3 linked regions of the Oreochromis niloticus genome follow. The protein of the gene in region 2 purifies or fractionates together with the protein of the main gene of each other region. This does not show direct contact. Links are inferred from orthologs where the notes say so. Each region holds a gene or a part of one and is shown on either strand. Other genes may lie near its edges.

Region 1 (7,352 bases), on a different chromosome or scaffold from region 2:
TATGGAGTATGGGTATAGAGTGTGGGTATAAATATGGGTATAAATTAATACTTTAGCAGCAAAGGGCATGATGACCAGCACTGATAAAGTGACAGTGTCAATAAGTGTTAAGTAGTGGTTAAGGTGCTACAATAACAGTTCTTGTCCATTATGCATTAAGAAGTCTCACAGCTTCTGGAATGAAGCTGTTTCTCAGTCTGGTGGTTTTGCATTTTTGCTCCTCAGCCTCCTGCCTGAGGGGCGTGGGACAAAGAGTGGGTATGCTGGGTGAGTGGGGTCCTTCATGATACAGGTGGCCCTCTTCCTGCATCCGGAGGTGTATATGTCTGTGACAGTTGGGAGGCTGCCTCCGACAACTCTCTGTGCAGCCTTCACCACCCTCTGTAGAGCTTTCCTCTCTGCCACAATGCAGTTTCCGTGCTTCCGAGGCGGCCTCCTCTGCTCCTTCACCTCCATGTTCATCAAGTCTGCTCCATACTGCTCCATACACCGCTCTCTCCCACTTCATCCAGCTTACACCACAGTTCCTGTCTCTCCTCTGACCTTTGACCCGTGGGGGTCTGACTCTGACTCATGATGCTGTCTCACGCCCAGTTTGAGTCCTCCTGGCCTCGCTTCCTTTCCTCCTGCTCTCTCACCTCCTCCTCCTTCTCCTCATTAGCAGCTCTCTCTCTTTAAAATCACACCTCCTACATTTAAGGCTCCTCTCTCACCTCCTGTTCCGTGGCTTCAGTGTCAAGTAGCAGTAGAGGGATTTCAGACGATGATAAAATGGATATATATTGGACAAAAGTTGGAAAGAGTAGGAAGGTAGGGCTGAGGAAGGACAAGTTGAAATTCACTCTAACAGGGAAGCGGGTACTTGAAGAGGAAGATGTGAGACGAGCAGGGGCGGATCTAGAAGGGTGGCATGGGGTGGCAAGTGCCACCCTAAAATGATCCCTTGCCACCCCAAGTGCCACCCCAGTTTTGCATATGACAGTGTTGTTTATTAAAATAAGATAGCATTAACAGTTTGAGCGTAGTTACAGTCAACAGTGAATGTAAATGCTAAAACTGAATATACTGCATAGTGTCCCCCCCCTCCACCATTAACAAATGGTTCAGCCCATAGCAGGAGCGGCGTTTTTCTTGTTGTCAGCAGCAAGCGATGCTTATGATTGTGCCAGAGCACATTTTGAACAACACCATGGGAATTTCGGATTTTACACAGGTGGTTGGATGTTACACTCTGGAAATGGAAGGAAGGTGAGTGTTATTAACCCTCTGTGGTCCACGGACACGCTGCACCTCCAAATCACATGACTGATGTAAGCTGACACAGCAACAAGCTGCAGCCACGCTGAGTCTCTATTTCAACCCACATTGAAAGTTCGGACTTCAAAGTTTTAAAATTTTAATTACAGGCCAGTAAATCCAGAGTTATGATAATATATATAAGCCACGCTTTTTTCTAAATACTGTCGTCACGTTTTTGTGTGTGTGTGTTTTAAGCGTTTTCTAAGGAAAGCGCGAAAACAGTAAAGAAAGGAAAGAAAGCCACCTCTTTCCTATCGGTGGAAAAATGCACCATGTCGACCAATTTAAAAAAAGTCAACACGTGGGATTTGGTTGTTTAGGAAGAGGGGAGAGTTTTGGGAGTGACGGTAACGGCAGCGAGACAGAGCGAGCGAGTGAGAGAGAGAGAGCGAGAGAGTTTTTAGATGTGGGAGATTTGTGATGTTTAGTGTGGAGTGTATAGTTAGTGTGTTGTGTTGTCTTGTGTAGTTGTTCTGTTGTGTAGTCGTTGTTTTGTTTTGTGTGTCAGTGAGGGCACTAATGAAGGTCACAAAGGCACATTTGCAACGTAAACACTGTCACTAAGTAGAAAACCAGCGGAGTGATACACCTGCTGTTGTCAGGTCTGCAGGTTTATCCCTGTGCTGTTCTCCTCTGTCTTTTGGTGGAAAAACTTTCTTTTACTGGCACACATCATTTGTGGGGAATCTTATTGCGAAACCTGATTGTTCTTGAGGCTTGAGCACCTGCCCCTTTCCTGATGGGTGCCCAAAGTGCCCTTTTGTTGAGGCAATTTTTTTTTTAATTTTTAATTTATTTTTTTTTAAATGTGTGTGTGCGTGCAGAGTCCTGTCTGTGCCCCTCAACAATAATATTTAACTATTAATCACAGTTTTGCTAAATAAAAGGATCTGGCTTGCATCAGTCACATGATCACCATTAACCAATGATCGCCCTTGACGGCAGAACGCGCTGGAACGAGCTCATAAAGAGCACGCGCATTTTTGCGGTCCGGAGCTGTAGGAGAAACACAAATTACCTCAGACACACAGACTGAGGCGACAAAACCAGTAAGTAGGTGAACAGCGCACACTGTAGTCTACAGCACACAGGAGTGTTAGCTTATTACGTACACGTTGGTAAGCTGTCTTGGGACAACTGACGAACTGAAACAAATGAGCGTGCTGTGTGTGCAACAGCGCGACAAACATTACCTGTCCTTTTATTAACTGCACAAGTAGTGCTGGTCATAGCTGCTGGCTCACTGGGTAAGGCTGTCATGGGTCTGTAGCTCTGTCACCGTGTTAGGGAACATATTTAGTTTTAAAGTAAGTTACAGGGCTTTTCCTGCCTTTCTGGAGGGATTATATTTCACTTAAAACGATCTAATATGCATGTCCACATAATAATGGATTATTATAATTATAATATTTTAAAAAACACGCTGTATTTTAAAGAACATACATTAAGAAACAGATTATATTAGATTTATATTTTAAATAAGACAAAATGCTGATTTTACAGCAGCAAAATTATTGTATCTCTACAGTTTAAAAATGTAATAAGCTTTCTGCCTGCACAGAGTGGAAAGTGAAACAAATTGAATCATCATAAATACATTATTTCATATGTATTACTCTTTTTCCCTCATTGCTTTATTATTGTAGCTCTAGTAATAAATAATAAAGGAAGGATTCTGGATCAACACCATGATGGAAACTTGTGCCCACAGTATATACAGTATTCTGAAGAAGGTCTAAAATGTCACTGTGTGTGCATGCATGTGTGTGTTTTATGTATATGGATTTTTGAATTATTACTCATAATATAACATTGTCCAGACATGGCTGGTAAGGACATGAGGAGGAAACAGTAGGAGCTGTGTGAGGCCACTAAAGGCAGTGGATCCCTCAGCAGCTGGATTACAAAGAGCACAGGTAACATTAACACATGTACCAGTTGTTGGAGAGGTATCCCAGTATAAAAATAATAATAAGCACAACTGAAATGTTTTGCTTCTATAACATTTTTCTGTCATCATTTTATTATAGATTAAGTGTAAGAGTTGTTAAGTGTGGATAATTAAATAATAGTTTATTGCAATAGCAAGTTATGCCTTGTTCTCAGATGGACAGCAAATGGAGAGTGATAGATGAGATGAGGGGATGGAAGGAGGGAGAGAGGCAAAGAGTGATTCACAGGCAGGGTCTAGTTTATTTCTCAGTTTTTTGTTGCCTTATGGTTCCAAGCGCTGTCACCAATCTTTGCATTTTGTTATTATCTCATGACACTTGTTTAATCAGCTACCATCTCTCCTATGGACTTTTTAATGTCTACAGTCTCAGATCAACACAGCCCTGCCCTCCAGCACTATCAGCAGCAGGAGCAGCAGCAACCCCTCAACAGCAACATTGTACCCATCAGGTAAAACATAGGCTACGTTTGCTTTGCCTCACAACAGTGATATAGTATGATGCGATCCCATATTAGATTCTTGATGAATGTGTGTTGTTGTTATTCAGCCTGGTTCAATGTGCCCCTTTTTAGCTTTGAGCACCCGCCCCTATAAACGTCTCTGCACGGCCCTGACACAGTGACTCCACTATATAAACACTTCATTGTGAGTATGCATCGTATATATGAGTATATATGATTACACACAGTTTATGAAAGTAACTATGATTACATGTCTAGTGTATATAAGTATATATGTCATAATAAAATCCACAATAGTTTGGAAAAGGTGCAGCGAGAAGAAGTCATGTAGATATGAATATAAAATAGAGTAAAGGTGTCAGCCACAGTGGGACAGAGAGGGTAGTTTTATTATAGTACACAGGGCAGAGGGACACTGTGGGAGAAGGTCTAGAAGAAGGTGTAATGTGAAGAGTAAGATTTGGTCACACAGTTTAAATAACAGTGTCAAACAGACGAATAAGCACGAGACAGGAAGTGTGAATGTCGTGCAGGAGGCATCTGAAAAGTGTAAATAAAGGCGGGAAACATGGAAAATACACATCACAGAGGAGGACACGTGATGGAGTTCACAGGGCGGACACTCCAGTCCAGCAGGTGGCGGTAATGCACCTGACGCTGTTTGCTACCGCCATAAAAAGATAGAAGAAAAAGGCGGCTCTCGCGCGTGCGCAGTGTGTCCTCAGAGTCGGGAGCAGAAAGAAGATGGCGGCGCCCGTAGATCTGGAGCTGAAAAAGGTAGGAGCTCCTCACCTGTGTGTGTGGCACGTGCTTTGTGCCTGTGACTAACGCGGCTGTTTCACACGTGGTCGAGTGTTTTTTCCACAGTCTCCGGTTTAAACTGCCCACGACCTCCGTCTGTGTCTGTGCCGGCGGGACACCGACACCGTCACGCTCGTGACTTTAACACACCTGCGCCCAGGCCTTGTGTCGTCACCGTGACGTAGTTAGAGCCCCTAACGTCAAAGTGACGCAGCGGAATCGTTTGCGAGTGGGTTGTGGGTGTAAGGTGTGATATCATGAAGTAGAGCTAAAAATGATACGGTTTCGGGGGGGGGGGCGGGTAGTTCAGAGTGGGCAGGCTCTGTTACCATGGTGACTAACCGTCAGGTGCGCTCCGCAGGCTTTCTCCGAGCTGCAGGTGAAGATGATCGACACGCAGCAGAAAGTCAAGATGGCCGATCTGCAGATAGATCAGCTGACACGCGTTCAGAAGCACGCCAAGCTGACGCACGCGGAGATAGCCACGCTGCCCGACAACACGCGGCTCTACGAGGGTGTGGGACGCATGTGAGTCACCTACTTTTAACCTTAACAGACCTGAACGTCACGCAGGTGTCAGCCAATCACATCGGTTCAATCATGATGTGTTTCAGGTTCATCCTGCAGTCCAAGGAGGAGATCAACAACCTGCTGACAGACAAACAGAAGACTGCTGACGAGAAGATCAAAGAGCTGGAGGTGCACGCGCACATGCCTCTTCTCATTGGCTAACTGCTGATTGACATCACGCGTGTGGGCATGTTCTGCATGGGGTTAGAGAAACCTTCTGGAGGAAACCTGAACTGTGTCCAAATTCATGGGCTGCATCCTCCTGAGGACCCAGCCTTCGTGGTCTACGTGGGCCGGGTCCTCAGAAGGTCGGGTAGGCCGGAAGTAAACAGCTGTGAAACTGGACGGTCTAGCTTTCAGATTTGTGTCACCGCTGTGTGGGTGGAGTTTAATAAACTCGGCCGTCTGCTCCTTGCAATCTAAAATATAACAGGACGCTGGCGTAAATTCTCGACCATCTCACACTTCTGTTTAATCAGTTTTCTGTTTGACGTTTATTCAGCTGTGTAAAAACCACCCGGGGGATTAATAAAGTTTTATTTTATCTAATCTAATAACTTTAATCTCAGCCAAACCGATTTACTCACGAACAAATAAAACACTGAAAAAATGACAAACAATAACATTTTTAGGTTGTCTAAGTGACTTATATATTACGTTTAACCTGAGTAGCGAAAGTCCGCAGTGATCTGAAAATGATGTGCCGGGAGTTGTGCCGTTCTCGGCGGCTTCAGTGACCCTCGAGCTCTCGGCTAGCTATCGAGCTGGTGGGTAACAGATGTCTCCGAAAATGTCAGCGCACTTTTAGAAATATGTGATATCTTGATAAACCAAGCAGATATTCGAAGTTTACACAGCTACATTCTCGCCTGAAAATATGTTAAAAGTTTATTTTGTGACCCAGAAAGATTAATAAGAGTAATATTAAAACTTAGTAGCGGCCGCCATTGTTGGAAACTGGAGTTTGGCTGAGCCGCGCTATGAATTCTGGGATATGGTGGGCCACGAAGGACACACCCGACCCATCCTTCAAATTCGGGGAAAAGGAGGACGCATTTGTCGGCTGCATTCGGAGGAGTCGACGAATTTGGACAGCCTTCGGCGCGTCGCTGTGATGTAATCGGCCTACAAATGCGTCCTCAGGAGGATGCAGCCCATGAATTTGGACACAGCTCTGGTCTTGTTAGGAGAGACGGCATCCATCCCACTTTGGATGGAGTAGCTCTCAAAATGTGACTATTCAGAGTTGGGACCAGGAAGCAGAGTTGCAGTCTTACACGTCTCTCTGCAGCTTCTCTCCTCCTGTTATCTCCCAAAACCCCATCTCCATAGAGACTGTGTCAGCTAGAGTCTTTAAAATATGAAACACGTTGATGTAACTATTGTTGTGCTTTATACAAAAAAATGGTTGAATTATCCTGCAGTCTGATTTCAGGAGGTTGAAACAGTGTTGGTGTGTGACACACACACACAGCTAAGCACTCACAGTATGTTTGTGTTTGTGATTTCCAGCAGAGGAAGGTGTACCTTGAACGCAGCGTGAAGGAAGCTGAGGACAACATCAGAGAGATGCTGCTGTCCCGGAGAGCCCACTGACTATCATCATCATCACACACACTATAATTACACTGTAATACACACACACACACACACACACAGTTTCCTGTGTGAGTTTTTCACAATAAAAGCTTGAAGACACTGCCTGGTGGTGGCTTTTTTCAGTCTGAGATTTACTTTGAATTTGTTGATGATGACGACCCTCTTCTCAGTCTGTGTGATCTGATGAATTAAACCAGCAGACGATCATGTGACTGTATGGAATTACGTTTGCCCAAAGGAGGCGGGGTCATAATGTGATTGGTCACTTTGAATCCTTTAAAACAGAAGGATTCAAAGAGCTGATCTGAGGTCTGTGCCCTGAGGTTGATCAAGAAGCATGCATCAGGGTCCAGCAATTATAACTTACTACAGACATTTAAAGCTGCACGTGTAATTGCACCATGAGTGGATGCAGCGCTAAGAACAGGCCCTATATTTCTCTGGTTTTACGATGTCCTCAGTGTTGAGGTGATAAATCAGCACATAACTGAGCAGCAGCAGAAATAACAGCTGCAGGTAAACGGTGACCTGATTCATTTGGTCAGAGATTCATCCAAATAGGAAAAATCCTCTAAACCCTGAACGTCAGAGGTCAAAGGTCCGATAAGCTGCCGGTGTAACATGAAGCTGAAAGAAACGCACATTTTCCTGGACAGGTGAGTGACATC
Region 2 (7,478 bases):
CTCTAAATTGAAAACTAATGCAAAGGTGATGGTTCATGAAAAAAAAAAATGTTTATTCGTATCAAGAGAAAAGTCACAGTAATAACACTGCAAAGAAATGCCAAGAAACAAGCAGAGTGTCGCAGGTTTACATGATATTAACTACTTTGTGTAAGCGTGCGTGCAGCTACATCACTCCATCAGACTTTGCCCACAGCGAGGCCCTGGGCTTTCTGAAACTCCTGTTGTAAACTTGACAACACTTCTCGATGCTGTTCGGATTTCTTTTCCATGTCTTTCAGTAGCGTCTCATACCTCTGACTGCAAAAGGACAAAAAAGGAAACCACTGAGTTTTAAACACACACAAATGAGGAATATTTAATTCCCATTCTTGTACACTGAACATCTGTAATTATTCAGGGTTATAATACTTTAACATTTAATATCTCAAACCATTCAAACACAAAAAGAACACTACCTTAAATTAAGTATTACAAGCCCACACACCCACATTTTTGCATTTTTGCATTTTGTCGCCTTGTACTTGTGACACGACAATAAAGTTGAATTCTATTTTATTTTTATCTATAATTGTACAAAAACTTTAACCCATTTAAAAAGTACAAAGTGGCAATAAAGCTGAATCAAGAAGTTAGTTTAGTACTTTTGCCTAAAGGACTCTTGTCTTTTTAAATCTTCTCCTGCTATTATGTAATCTCAGTGAGGAGAAAAGACTGACACAGATCAAGCTCGTGACTGCCCTCTACCTATGAGGGAGCACAGTGACACAGCTAAAGTCTGTTCTCATATCTACAATGGAGCCATCTGTAAGCTGCCTGCACAGTTTATTTTTAATGGGCGGGCATTGTTTCTGATTTTATGAGGTTCCAGTTGTCCCAAAACTACGTTCACGTGTGAACTGTAGTGTTTAACACAGTATTAGACATGTGGCTATAAAAAGGGCAGTTGCTATAGACACACACTTTGGAACAATACATATTGGAGCAATAATCAGCTGCCTCTCCAGTGAGTCCAGTGAAAAGGCTCCTGTTTCACTGTCTTAAGGTGCAGACTGGACAAGGACTTCAGTCCACAACAGGGGAAATGGAGTCAATTTGACCATAACATGAGACTTTCTTTAGAGGCAGCTGGGTGATATTGAGGACGGCTACAAAAATGGCCTGGTGTGCCCACCAGTGGAGAAATGTGAGGCGGGAAGACCTGGGGCTACACAACAATAGCAAGGTCACAGTTTGCTGCTAAATCAGTTGTAGATGGATCTGTTCTCCTGGACAGATTGCAAACAATGAAAAAAACAAAACAAAACATGAAGTAATAAAATACTTTTTCAAACACTGTCCCGGGTATGTCGACAAGGACAAGAAGAGCAAAAAGAGGAAAGAAGTAATGTTGGAAGTTGAACTGAAACAGACAAATGTTTTCCCAGGTGATGAGCTGGTTTAATTAGCTCTGTAAGTATAGCCTGGAGTTAAAGTTAAAATGCTTCATAAGAGTCTTCTGTTGCAGGTTCAGGCCACAGTGGGGCCAGAATATTGTCACAAAAGGAACCTCTGAGTCCACTGTATTTACTCTACAGCGAGGCAATAGTCATCCTAAACAGATTTGCTGACTCCCACCACATCCTGAACTCATCCTGAACAAAACAAATTTCCCACGTGTGGGACTAATAAAGGTTATCTTATCTTATCTTACCGGAAAAGAAACGAACTTGGACTCTTATCAGTTATTCCTTGAGCTTAATATGACTAAACGACATGACAGGTGATTTCAGGAAGTCATTCACGTGTCCAAGACACAAAGCAGCCTTTACAATAACACCTTAAATTACTGATGCAGTGGGTGATGGCGCTGCTTGTCTTTATACTTGTGTGCAATCACCAGTGAATCTGAGCTCTTGGACTTGACGGTAGTTTTTGTTTGTTTGTTTGTTTAAATTTAACTCTCTGAAGTAACTCTTGGAGGCCAATTAATTTTCCCAAGAACCCGGGACTGTTGTGGAAGATTGCACCAATAAGCTGAACTCAGATGTGCTAAATATTAATTCAATATTAATTTTTACTTCTTTATAAGCTTGTTGGGGCAGCCATCCAAAACAGTCCCAGCTTCTCATGTTCTCAAAAATCATTGCCCACCCCCGATATAGACGGTGTGTGCGCCCGCTCCACCTCTCCCCCATCATCACAACACCTACACTTAGTAAACTCACAGAGGGTGTTTTGAATCATAATTGATCCCCAATGACCAAAACCTGATGTATTCCCATAGCACTGTGAAGGTCTCTTCACACATTGGTGTGGGTGAAATGGCTTACATTTCTCCGTTGATGTACTCCAGCCTTTTGGCTACTGTGGCTTTGGCCTCATCTAGGTCCTGCTTCACTAATACAGGACCAATGAGCTTATAAACGGTGTTTGAGCTGTCCAGCAGATCAAGCTCCTGGAAAGACAAAATGAGATCTCGTGTTTACTACAGAACAACACATACCGCAACATAGATAGAAACAAATGGTCTACCAATAGTGCTATCAGTGAATAAAATAGCAAATAAGCGATCATAGTTACCTCTTTAACAATGTTGTTCTCTGTCAGCTGCGTCTCGAGCTTCTGTCTGGCTGACATGCTCTTGCTAACCTCTGAACAACACACAGTTAGTTAATCAGGGGAGGAACTGGTTGCATTTTAATTACAGCGAAAGTATTGTTGCGACTATAATTCAAATGCATGCGGCAGTTATAACGACACACTTTAATGTATATCGAGCTTTCCTAATATGGTCAGTTAGCTCAATGCATCATGTCACACTAGGAGAAACCACGCAGGGCTAACTAGCACCCACCTTTCTGCATCTGGGCGTATTTCTCCACTTCCACCTTCAGCTTCTTTTGAATGGCTTCTGCCATGTTTGTATTTATTTTAAACAGTACTGTCGAGTGAGTAAATGTTTCAAAGAGATATAATAAGTTATGGATGATATAGCATATGAAAGCTCTATGCGAGCTAACCGGAAAGGGCAGAGGCTAGAGCGGATATTAGCTCATCCCTTCAAAGTAAGAGCACAAATGGGGACGGGCCGTGTATTAGCGGCAAATAAAGTAGTCAAATGAAACCATTCAGTCTGTGTATATTCATGTATATTTATATATAACTTATTAATATGTGTTTCCCTTAATATTTAATTTCCCACTTATTAATAGGGTGTTTTTTTTACACCGCCATGGTTGCGGCTGTTTACGACACCGTTTTACGACACCGTACGCGCAGTTCCTCTTCGCTTCGGTTCAAGATGGCTTCGTCGTTTTGGAAAGGTGTTGTCGGCATCGGACTTTTCTCCTTAGCTCATGCGGCTTTCTCAGCGGCACAACGTGAGTTTCATTGCACAGAGCGAAAGACACGTCTCTGTAGCTGTATTTATCGCAGACTGTCTCCGGTATCACCGGGTAGCTCGACAAAACAGCAGCTCGGGCCTTTTGGCTAGCTAACATCATGCTAGGTGGGCTCTGCTCCGCTTTGAATGGGGCGCAGTGGTAGCGATTGAAATCTTTTCCTTGCAGTGCAGCCCGAAAGGGTCAGTGCTAGTGGTAGACAGCCATTTAGAGTAATGGCATTTAAAGAGGATTTCTTTTGGAGCCCTTTTTAGAGTTCTCTAATTAGCACCGTTTGTGCGAGGTGTTCATTTTAACTGCATTAGCTCAATCATGTTTCTCCCATCAGATCGATCATACATGCGACTTACAGAGAAGGAGCACGAGACGCTACCAATTGATGTGAGTAACTTTTATCCTTACTTTCAGCCTTCCTCCTGATTTCAAAGACTTTTCTTTTTTGTCTTTTTGTTTTACCCAGCGTTTTCCTTCTTTGTGTTTCCAGATTGTACTGCAGACTTTGTTGTCATTTATCATGACCTGTTACGGTATTGTCCACATCGCTGGAGAGTTCAAAGACATGGATGCTTCCTCAGAGCTGAAAAACAAGTAAGCTGACTTCACCCTGCACACCTCCACTCCCTCGGCAGTGCAGTTGTTTTTTGTCCTCTGTCACAGGGGAAGCTCATGGCTCACCATCTCAGCGACATTTATAGTAACATTACTGTGAAGCTGTTCACCTCGAATCCCACAGGTGCAGCTTTACATCACACAGCCAGTGTGTTGAAACCCTCCTAAGACTGAAAACGTATTCAAAGCAAAGCCAAAGAATACGGCCTTATATCATGAAAGTAAATGGAAGGTTGCTGGGTTGACAAAAGAGGTTTGGGTCACAGTGTGACATTATTATAACTACAGCTGCAGGTGACAAGATGGTGTTTTGGCTGGAGCTTCACTGAGTGTTGTTCAGTGTTATGAACATTGGCTACTTTGGCTGTTTACATTTTTCAAAGGCATGGAGTGGGCCCGGTTGGAATCCTTGCCAGGCTGAATCTGGTACCTGGGCCTCATGTTTCCCATCCTTGCTTGATCACCTTTAATCCATCAGTGAGGTTTTATCAGATCAGATAAAAGAATGAATAAAGTGATTTGGAGGCGAATGCAGCAGCAAAATTGTATAAACTAAGCAGTTGTTGAGATGTTTAAAGACGTAAGACAGTAAGCAAGCCAAACATAAGTGACTTGTTCATGTTGTGATCTGCTAACTGGTTAGTTTGAGTGCTAAACCCAAAATATAGGCAAAGTTTTTACAGTGGGAGTGTAACCACTTCTAGATTTAATAAGTGAACCCTGTAGATACAAATCGGCAAGCAAAGCATCCCACATGAGAAATCACAGCTTGAATGTTACACAGTTGATGCAATTCTCCCCTGAAACTTTCAATGTCTCATCTGATGGCTGGACACTGGGTTGTCACACTGCAACACTGATGATTCCAGTGGGTGTTAACATTGGTTTGTTTCTTTATTCTAACTCTGTATCAGGGACCATTGGGATGTAAACACACTTCTCTGTCCCTTCTCTCCTACAGGAGTGGATTATATAATTTAACAAATGTAATCAATCTCCATAACTTCCTGCCTCTTGGTGCCAGTGTTTAAGAAGTGTTTCTTTTTTTTTCTTTCCCCAGGACTTTTGACACTCTGAGGAACCACCCATCCTTCTACCTTTTCAATCACAGGGGTCGGGTGCTATTCCGCACAGCAGAGGAGGAGCCCTCTTCTGTACGCAACCAACAAGCTCTGCCCAACCCCATACGGTTACGCAAGCTGGAGCATTTGCACTGAGACTGGCCTTTTCCTGTCTGTAACACGGTCATTGTCAGATAAGATTTGTTTTTGTTAGACAGGAGGGAGAACGTGTCAGAATTCATCTTTCTCCTATTTAACTTTTCTTTATTTTTTTGTAAATAAACTAATAATGCTGTCTGAACATGCATCTCTGTCCATAACGTGGTTGCCACCATATTCAACGCTGACTGTGCCAACCCCTCAGTTTTTGTTTTTATTATTTCCAAGCAGACTTGTTTGTATATACAGTATGTAAACGCTTTGGAGTCTTAAGATACTGAGACATGTACCCCTTTGATCCCTTCTGAACTGAACTGGGATATTACTCTTTGTATATCTTTTGTATGAAGGGAATAACAAAGCCTGCTTTGGTTGCTGTTTCGTTCCAAACACACGTCAGCAACTGAAAACTTTGTCAACTGAAATGAGATTAATCAGTGGACTCTATTTGCTGTATTATTTCCAGGAAGCATAAATGCTCTGTACACTCTGTATGTGAGCAAAATGGTTTTTAAGTCACAGGAAATGAGGTGAACACTGGGATGGGCGATATTAGAGCGCTATTATAATGAGACTGTGAACACTAAGGCAGACTAGACAGTACTGGTACATTAATCTGAGTGAATTTTATTTTCCTTCATTTTAGATTTCATCAATATTCAACAGATTGTTTTTAATTTAATAAAAGTCATACTGATTTTACGAAGTGTCCAGATCTCCTTTTTTGTTGTACTTGGGCTGGAATATTGCTTTTGTCAGACAAAACTAAGTGGACTATTTATTTTCCAGATAATCTATTTATGCAGGAAGAAGTTGGTAAGAAATGGTAAATGGTTGGTACGCATGGCTTTTAAAATGAAATCACTATAGTGACAGTCTGCAGAGCTGTGCTGTGCCTGTGACCTTGGTGCAGGACTGCTGCATCACAAAAAACCCTCCTGATCCAAAAAACCTGCAGCTGTTTATGATGGACGCTAGGTGGCAGTCAAGGCTGAAGTTCCAGTCTGGGTTAAAATGGAGCAAACTTAACAAATCATGTAGAACAGAAATGGAGAAAAAGTACATATTAAATGCTTGTTTCACTAACATGTATTTAATATAAAAACTTAAGAATCAAGTAATTACAAAATTGAGACTTTAATGGATTTTAGGACATGTACTGGTGCAATTTTCAAGAACAAGGGTGATGTGCAGAGCTGCACTAAGTACACAGGGATCAAGTTTATGAGCTGCACCATAAGGTTGGATGTAGGTTGTTCATGCTGAGACAGCTCTACAGATGTGATGCTCGCTTTGTTACAGAGAAGTAAAAAGAAGGTCAGGTGTTGTACTGTCTTTGTGGTTGTAGAGAAATTTAGTTGATACTAAGGAGCCTGAAGTGTGCCAGGAAAATATCCCCCATATCATTACACCCTCGCAGCACCCAGTGTGGTCTTCTGCTGTTGTAGCCCATCTGCTTTAAAGTTCAATGTGTTATTCAGAGATGCTCTTCTGCATAGCCTGGTTGTTACGAGTGGTTAGCTGAGTTACTGTTGCAGAGCCAGAGAGCTGCTGCTCACTGGATATATTCTCTTTTTAGAACATTGATGGTTGTGTGAGGAAAAATCCCAGCACATCAGCAGTTTGTAAAATATTCAAACCAGCCCGGCTGGGACCAACAACCATGCCGCGGCTAAAGTCACTGAAATCACTTTACTTCCTCATTCTGACGCTCAGTTTGAACTTCAGGAGGTCGTTTTGACCACGTCTACATGCTTAAATTTGCGGAGTTGCTGATGTGTGATTGGCTCGCAAAACATCTCCAATAACAAGCAGTTGAACAGGTGTGCCTAATAAAGTGGCTGCTGAGTGTATATGCAATTCCAGCGTTTGCAGGCTTTTGTAAAATTACATTGTGTTGTAATCAATGACAAAGGGTCACAAAGAAAATAGGTCCAGCTGCCGTGTGCGTCGCAGAGCTCTGCTCCACAACTTCATCACTCTGTCAGACACACGGAAAGTGTTGCGTCTGCAGCATTTGCTCAGTTTAAAGTTGAGGCTTTACAAAAGAAACACAGACTCTAGAGACTTTATGGAGGTTAAACCAAAACTGCTTGAAAAAAAGAATGAAAGATGAAAGTAAGCGAGCTGTGTGCTCATCAACTGAGTCTTTAAAAAAAACACCAACTTCATGCTAGAACAGGGGTGGGCAATCTCAGTCCAGGAGGGCCGGTGTCCCTGCAGGTTTTAGATCTCACCCTGGGTCAACACACCTGAATCACATGAT
Region 3 (7,723 bases), on a different chromosome or scaffold from region 2:
CCTTAGACTCACCCCTGCATATTGCAGGAATTGCATTGCAATACAGACAGCAGGGAGGGGCAGGAAATGTGCCAAATTTAAAGATTGAGCAGTTCATAAGGATACAAATGACTTTCAGTTGAGCAGTTTCTTAATTTAGCATGCTGTTCCTGTTGGATGGGAGGAGCTGAAAACATTGCTTTTCTTCACATTTGAACTATTCACACAGGTGATTTGATGAAGGACTTTTATTGTATTTTAGCTCGATTACCCTTCATAGCTTACTCGGAATAACCCTTGAAACTCTTTTCTGAGTGGTTTCTGTCATATTTAATTCCTGACTATTAGAACAAAATGAGTGTGTTTGCATCAAAAGTTAGTGAGGGGGTTTCTGCCCCTAGTTACCCCTGGATAAACCTGAATACTATTCTAATGGTTGTTGAACCACATCTTCATTGATAAATGCCAAGGTGTAAAGTCGTTACTAACCCAACAACACTAACATGCTGTTTTATATAACTTACACATGGGTTAAATCACCCAGCATTAGTGTAGTAGGTTGAGGGTACAGGGGAGGTCATCAAATGTCATCTTTATAGGTTAATTCATCAAAATTCATATTAGCTAGCTATGATGAAAGCTACTTATGTATTTAGTTCACTACTCTTTAGTGTATAAAACAAAAACTGTACTGTAAAAAAGCCAAAGGCTAAACGAACTAAAAAAAAAAAACAGACAGAATGAGGACGAGTATGATGCCTGGCACAGACACAGTGAAGATGTGGGGGAGTTATGTCGCATTGCAAACTTATTATCCAATGGACAACGCGGTTCATCACATGAGTGGACATGGATTTTTAGCTGATATCATCTTCACCTTGTAAGTCTATGTTTTTGTCAATGATGATGAAATGTGTTTATGAAGACACCTTCTGTACTGGGAACAACTGCAACTGCAAAGGCACTATTAGTAATTTGGTTGTTATTTAGCACAATCTGTCAACACAACAGTATCACAACTCTGTAAGATACACACATGAAGCTTTGTCGATGAGATCAAAATGAAGGTAAAGTTTAAAGACTGAGGTTCAAGCCATCAGTACCATGTATTCAAAAAGATTCCGCATTAATGTTGTGAAAATAATCATAATTGCTGTCATCTAATTTTTAGGATAATTTCATTTTAATTGAAGAAAAAAATAAAAATAAGAAGTCCAGAAACATGCATGTCATTGAGTAAAATAAGTATTTGATCCCCCTACAACCCAGCCAGAATTCTGACTCATACAGTGCTTAATATGAACCAGTATAATGTCACATGGTATGATGGTGCACCGAGATAAGGAAGTTACCTTGTTTCATGGCATGCTTTTCCTGTAGGGCTGGCTGAATTTTCTCTATCTGCTTTGTGAGGAAGTCTATTTTGCGCTTAAAGAATGCCTTTGAGTCTTCCACGTTCTGCAGAGACAAAAAGGAGAAATTTCAACACGACTCAAACACATTTAAACATTTTGTTTCATTATAATCCACTCATGGCTTTTCAAATTGCAATTTTTTTTTACCTTTTCAACATAGTATCCTGTCCCCACATCCACTAAAACGTGTTCCACATCATTTAATGTCCCAGGGACATACATCTGAGTAACAGGAATGTCAAGGACAAACATGCATAGCTCAAGATAACCATGACTTAATTTAAAGCACATCATACAACACAGCAAAACACTTACTGTCCAGTGCAAACAAAAGGATACAGAACTGGTAAGAGGCACAAGGAGTTCTTTTCCTATATGAAAGAGGAAATAATAAATCAAATTAAGCTACAGATTTCTAGCGAACATTACTGAAAAAGCAGAATTCTGTTTTTGGCCAGAAATGGTCGTGCGGGGTGTCATAAGAACTAATAAGGATGTAACAAGTGTCATTTTAATGTGATGACTGGTTATATCATTAGAGTGTGACGCTGTGTTAGCAAAACTGATGTTGTACATATGAGCTCAGATCAGTGCCTCAGCGCTTCTGTGTTTTGCTCTTGCTTTTTTGTTTTGTTGAAACTGCGATAGTCATGTACACTATAATCCAGGATGTGTCGTTGATTTTTAATAGAGGACGTCCGATGAATGTCCTAGACCTTAGTTATTAAGAGTGGTTATTTGAGTTGCTGTTGTTCTTCCATCAGCTCAAAGCAGTCTGACCTTTCTACTCTGACATCAACATGGCATTCATTTTGGAAACTCTGGACATTTGTGGTATTTAAACTCCTCTACTCTTTACCGTTACATCCGTCTCTCTCACATTCACACTTGTGCTGACTTTCAAACCTCTCTAGGCTCTCTTCCACCTGCTCCTCACTTTCACTACATAACATTTATCAGTTAACTGGCAAGTTAAAAGGGGAAGTAAATAAACAGGGTAGTAGCTGCTACTTGCATTTCATTTGAATACCGGTTCATCTAATATATAATAATACGAGTTATTGCCGATATAGTCAGTTTCACGCCTCTTGAGTGTTGAGATAAACATGTTTTTCAATCTACCAGAGGTGCACTGAATTAATAGGCTGTCAAAAGTTAAAATTATTACTCACCTTTATTGTTTTTGTTCAGGACATTCAAGCTATCTTTTGCCTCAACATACTTTGTCTGGACAACTTTGAGCTGACCTATCGAAGACGTCAAGAACTCAACTTCCTGCAAAAAGACACAACAACGTGTAGAAAACAAGTGGCACACGGTTACCAACCAATGGTTTTATGCTTGACTTGTTAAGGTGTGCCGACAACATCAACAACAACGGGTTTGCACTGTTAGCATCAGTGGTGCTAGCCGGCTGAATACCCGGGCCCGTTCTCAGCACGCTTAAAGCTCTGATTAGAGCCCTTTATAAGGACACATTCCTCGCACACACACGGACAAACTAGGCACACTACCTGGTCTAGCTGGGTTTTCAGTCCCTCTAATTGAGGCAGGGAGAGGTCTGTCAGATTCACCGCCATGTTGGAAGCGTGATGCTAAGAGACCTTTAGCGATGCTGTTTCCGGGTTATGGAGCTGGACCGTCACTAGTCTGAAACATCGCCCCACTGCGGAGAAGTGAGGAAGTGAACCAGCTCCTTATGCCTCTTCACAGAGAAGTATGTGAGGCTGACAGATGGGTTCAAGTTTGAGCTGGGATAACATCAGGGATCTGCACTGAGCCCCTTCTTGTTTACAATGGTGATCACTGACAGATGAGGTCAGGGAGGAGTTTCTGTGGACTATGGTGTTTGCAGATGGCACCGATCTGTAGTGAGAGTAGGAAGAAAGGAAAAGAGCCTGAAGAAGTGAGGATATACTCAGGAGAGAAGAGGAATAAAAGTCAATAGAAGTAAGAAAGAATACATATGTGTGAATGAGAGAGGCAGAGAGGTGCAGAGGTAGTGAAAGTAGAATAAGTTTAAATACCTGCAGTCAACCATCTGAAGCAATGGACAGTGCGCAAGAGAGGTGAAGAAGAGTGTGCAGGCAGGGTGGAGCCAAGTGTCCGGGGTGATTTGTGACAGAAGGATATCAGCGAGTGTGAAAGGGAAGGTTTACAAGGTGGTAGTGAGACATGCTATGATGTACAATTTGGAGATAGCTGCACTGACTAAAACACAGCAGTCCGAATTGGAGGTGGCAGAGTCGAAAATGAACTGAAGATGGTAAATGTATCAGACAAAGGATCTTGAAGATGGAACTGCCAAGCAGCAGGAGGAGAGAAAGACAGAAAATATTCATGGATGTAGTTAAGGATGGTATGCAGAGGGTTTGTGTGACAGAAGAGGATTCCAGGGATAGAGTGTGATGGAGGCAGATGATCTGCTTTCAGTCTGCTCAGGCCAAAGGAAGAAGAAAAATATTGCTGGATATAGGCCCTATATAAAATTTATTTTTTGTGCTTGTGACAAAATAAAACTAAAACTGCAAGAGCACCCAGAAAGTGTAGACATCCACCAACTGCTGTTAAAAACTAATAATTTATTCCAAAGAAATAACACCATGCATGACCCATGGGTGCAAAGTTCAAAACAGTGACTAGAAAACACTCAGCTGTGATACGAGAGGATGGGCTTTGGGGGGGGTGGCTCCTTTCTGAAGACATTTTTCGTGTCAAACACTTTTATACTGTTACTATTCTTTTCTTTTGTATTGGTTTAAGGTAGAGAGCTTTATGTAAATGTGTCAGGTATCGCAGGCACCAGGTTCAACGTACACTCAGTGGCCACTTTATCAAATAAACGCTGCTGGTACTGGGTTGGACCCTCTTTTTCCTTCAGAACTGCCTTCATTCTTTGTGGCATAAATTCAGCAAGGTGCTGGAAACATTCCTCAGAAATTTTATTCCATTTTAACATGAAAGAATCACAGAGTTGCTGCAGATTTGTCTGCTGCACATCCATGATACCAATCTCCTGGTCAACTAACTCCCAAAGATTGTGATCTGATGATTGTGGAGACAGATCTGGGCTTCACGTCTACATAATTAACAGGGCACCAACAGATTGTGTGTGAAAAAAAACATTTATTATATTTTAAAAAGGAGTTCATTCTATACATTAATAATGAATTTAAAAATTTAAAAGAAATCCCGTTATTTAAAACGTATTGACACACAAAAAATTCAAAACAATGGTTTAAAAATAATGTTATACTCAAAATGCATTTAAAAAAAAAAAAAAAGGATTTAACCTCAGTAGCACCCTATGTTAAGTGCACTGGCAGGCCATATACCACGGGCGCAGCGCCTATCAGATATTTCAAGTGAGTGGCCTGCCGAGACGACCCCATGAAGTCGAGGAGCGGTGCCCCGGAGCCAGCAGAAAACCACGACTCTAACAAGGCCTTGGTGAAGCGATCAATATCCCGATCTGTGACATCCCAGAGATTTCCCAAGATGAATGGGCTAAAACAAACAAACAAAAAATCAAAAGGATGATGACCATAAGACATGTTACAAACTAGATACTTTACATAAGATCCCCAAATATTCCTTCTGTTAACAACAGTTTGTTTCAAAAGATTCTAATTAAATCTGCAACAGCAGTATTAAAAAAAAGAGAGAGGGGAAAAAAAAAAAAAAAAAAAAAAAAAAAAAAAAAAAAAAAAAAAATCACACTCCATGTTATCAAAAATTATATGCAGCAGGATTGCGACCTTTTAAACAAAACTTTCAGTAAGTACATTTTCAGATTTTTACTTTTTATTATTATGCATGTTTATTTTTCTTTATTTAAATTTTTGTTTTTAGGGTCGATTGTAAATCATAAGTGCTTTGTTTGTAGTGCACAAGTTAAAAATAAATGCATAAAATGAAAATGTTTTACATCAGCTATTATAACTGCTGCAGTCATCAAGAGGAAATGCTGTGCATTTCATATGGTCATGTTATCCAGTTTTCATTCAGCTGCACATGGATGAAAATGCAAAGATATCTTACCAGCCTGCTATGATGTAATTTAGCACAATGCCATTTCCTTCCTGCTGTCCCCGGACAGCCAGGGCTCCGCTGCTGCAGCCAAACAGCAGAGACGCTGCCCTCAGCGGCCGTTTGAGAACAGCCTGGCTGTCCAGGAACCGGGCTCCTGCTCCATGGCCCACATAACTAAAATCATGGAGAGATAGATTTAAAAAAACCAAACAAACAAAAAAAACCCAAACAAACAACAACAACAACAACAACAAAAAACCAAACAAACAGTGAAACTCACAAAACGAACAGAAAAAAAAAATAGAAATACAAGGTAAAAAAAGATGGAAATCTGATGACAGAACTGAACGTTAAGAAAAACAAGCCCTCATTATTTAAAATAGAATGAATATTAAATGTTTGACAAAGAGAAAGTTTTATTTTTGAGGTTTCACCCACTTGATAAAGAAATCAGTCCCAGTGTGAACGATCTACACTAAAGCTCAGGGTCACCATCCAGACACCTTCACTTTCTGCACACTGACCCTTACTTATCTCCAGAAGGCCCTCAAGTAGGACATTAAGCTTTGGGTATTTTTGTACACATCTCTACAAGCTATGCACACATGGATTTGGACTCATTCTTTGGCTGGGTCACTCAGACACAGGCAGACTTGTCCTCAAGCTACTCCAACAAGACCGTGGCTGAATTATTTTTACTAATAGATAAACTCTCACCTCTTTCCCTTAAACCCTGACAGGTACACCCATAGCAAGATGCTGCCAAGATGAGAGTATTGCCTTGGAGTCCATCACAGTGCTTAGTGGTCTGCTTGCAGAGTTAATTTTTTACAATTATTATTATTTTTTATTCTCTCTCTCTCTCTCTCTCTCTCTCATATATAGATATATAGATATAGATATATATATAGATATATATAGATATAGATATATATAGTTCATTCAGGTTGCCATTATTGGTTTTAATGTGTTTTTAACGGAGACCTTTTTTTAAAAGAATTTTAAAGTGAATCTTGAATACAGAAAAATCTTCAAACAATAAAGGGGTTTGAATCTGTAGTTAATTTTTACTTATAAAACTGAAACTCACATGTAGACGTCTTTTGTAGCAACAGCTTCTTCTAGTCGGCCCAAGTCAGGTGCAATTCCACACACTCCTTCCCAGTCCGGTTTACTTTAATGAGAATAGAAAACTGAACTGATGAAAAACATTTATGCATGGACTTGTGCTCAATTACTGACATGTTTCAGTCTCACCTGCAAAACCAGTCTTTGAAACGCTCCTGAGAGTTCCCTAAATTGTCATCAGGATCGAGCACATAAAACACTTTCTTTGCATCCACACCACGCCTCAAAATAGACTCGGAGTCAGTCTAAAAGAATGATTGAAATAACGATAACATTGCAACTATTGAAATCAACTGTTTCATTAGCAATACAGACACTTTGCATTAATCCTTGACGGCATGGGAATGTCTTTATTAGCATTGCAGTTAATGAGAGGTGTGAATGTTAAAAGCCTTAACATACATGTATGAGTCCTACCTGACAGTTATAGAGCTTAATCATACCTCTTTTTGAATGCTCAGTCCAAGCAGCGAGTGCAGAGAAGGCATCCGACTTACAGAGCTAGACTTTAAGACGGGAATGCTCTCCCACGGCAACTTCTGAAGGTACTGCAGCAAAAAGTACAAAAGCTGATAAGCAGCAAATACTTTGTCTTCTCACAAGTGATACATTGCAGTGATGCTTTTCAACTCGTAGTGACACACATGCCTGCATTAGCTATAAAAGTGAATTCAGTATTTCACAGAGATTATGAAACCAACCTTGTCAAGGATTAGAACCACATGATTTCGGGGCTCATCCCTCTGTAAGAGCTGGGACACAGCAGTGTGAAGAAGCTGATCACACTCAGTGTCCCACTGTGGAGAAACTCCAAGAGCAAATTGTTTCAAGTCGTCTTCAGATAGCACAGGAGATGCAGAAAGCAGAACCTAAGACAAGTCAGAGGCATTAGTGGTCAGAATAATCAATTAGAAGCTGATGTTAAAGATCCATGGAAATGAAACGAAAACAAACAAAAAAAAACCCACCTTCAACATCTCTTCTTCCACTGGCACTCCCCTTGCAGATAATGCGTGGTAAAGGTGTTGGGTCTGTTTGGAAAGCTCAGCATCCAATGAAAGGGGTAGAAGGAAGGTTCTCCAGCATCCAAGCAACCTCTCCATGTCCTTCAAGAGTTGCTGAAGGTGAGATAGCAAAATGTTTCCACTTTAAAAGAACGCTCTAAAACA

The links.
Region 1: the proteins of pfdn6 (region 2) and pfdn1 purify together in Homo sapiens (affinity purification with mass spectrometry; 6 studies listed by BioGRID and IntAct, with this or other methods). This does not show direct contact. The link is inferred for Oreochromis niloticus from reciprocal best matches to the Homo sapiens genes PFDN6 and PFDN1.
Region 3: the proteins of pfdn6 (region 2) and pfdn5 purify together in Homo sapiens (affinity purification with mass spectrometry; 5 studies listed by BioGRID and IntAct, with this or other methods). This does not show direct contact. The link is inferred for Oreochromis niloticus from reciprocal best matches to the Homo sapiens genes PFDN6 and PFDN5.

The regions. Positions count from the first base shown.
Region 1 is NC_031975.2:33,670,607-33,677,958, forward strand, and holds pfdn1 (prefoldin subunit 1), read left to right. Parts: upstream 1-4,334; 5' UTR 4,335-4,458; coding exon 4,459-4,491; intron 4,492-4,876; coding exon 4,877-5,043; intron 5,044-5,129; coding exon 5,130-5,214; intron 5,215-6,597; coding exon 6,598-6,681; 3' UTR 6,682-6,786; downstream 6,787-7,352. UniProt on the Homo sapiens protein: Binds specifically to cytosolic chaperonin (c-CPN) and transfers target proteins to it. Binds to nascent polypeptide chain and promotes folding in an environment in which there are many competing pathways for nonnative proteins.
Region 2 is NC_031966.2:32,024,192-32,031,669, forward strand, and holds pfdn6 (prefoldin subunit 6), read right to left. Parts: upstream 3,045-7,478; 5' UTR 2,901-3,044; coding exon 2,837-2,900; intron 2,634-2,836; coding exon 2,563-2,633; intron 2,438-2,562; coding exon 2,313-2,437; intron 301-2,312; coding exon 180-300; 3' UTR 30-179; downstream 1-29. Other genes in the region: mmgt1 (ER membrane protein complex subunit 5), read left to right, coding at 3,215-3,362, 3,712-3,764, 3,868-3,971, 5,053-5,209. UniProt on the Homo sapiens protein: Binds specifically to cytosolic chaperonin (c-CPN) and transfers target proteins to it. Binds to nascent polypeptide chain and promotes folding in an environment in which there are many competing pathways for nonnative proteins.
Region 3 is NC_031970.2:23,616,714-23,624,436, reverse strand, and holds the start of pfdn5 (prefoldin subunit 5), read right to left. Parts: upstream 3,067-7,723; 5' UTR 2,975-3,066; coding exon 2,909-2,974; intron 2,670-2,908; coding exon 2,567-2,669; intron 1,766-2,566; coding exon 1,734-1,765; intron 1,617-1,733; coding exon 1,542-1,616; intron 1,438-1,541; coding exon 1,332-1,437; intron 1-1,331. Other genes in the region: espl1 (separin), read right to left, coding at 4,700-4,901, 5,436-5,600, 6,517-6,600, 6,684-6,799, 6,998-7,102, 7,256-7,423, 7,523-7,672. UniProt on the Homo sapiens protein: Binds specifically to cytosolic chaperonin (c-CPN) and transfers target proteins to it. Binds to nascent polypeptide chain and promotes folding in an environment in which there are many competing pathways for nonnative proteins.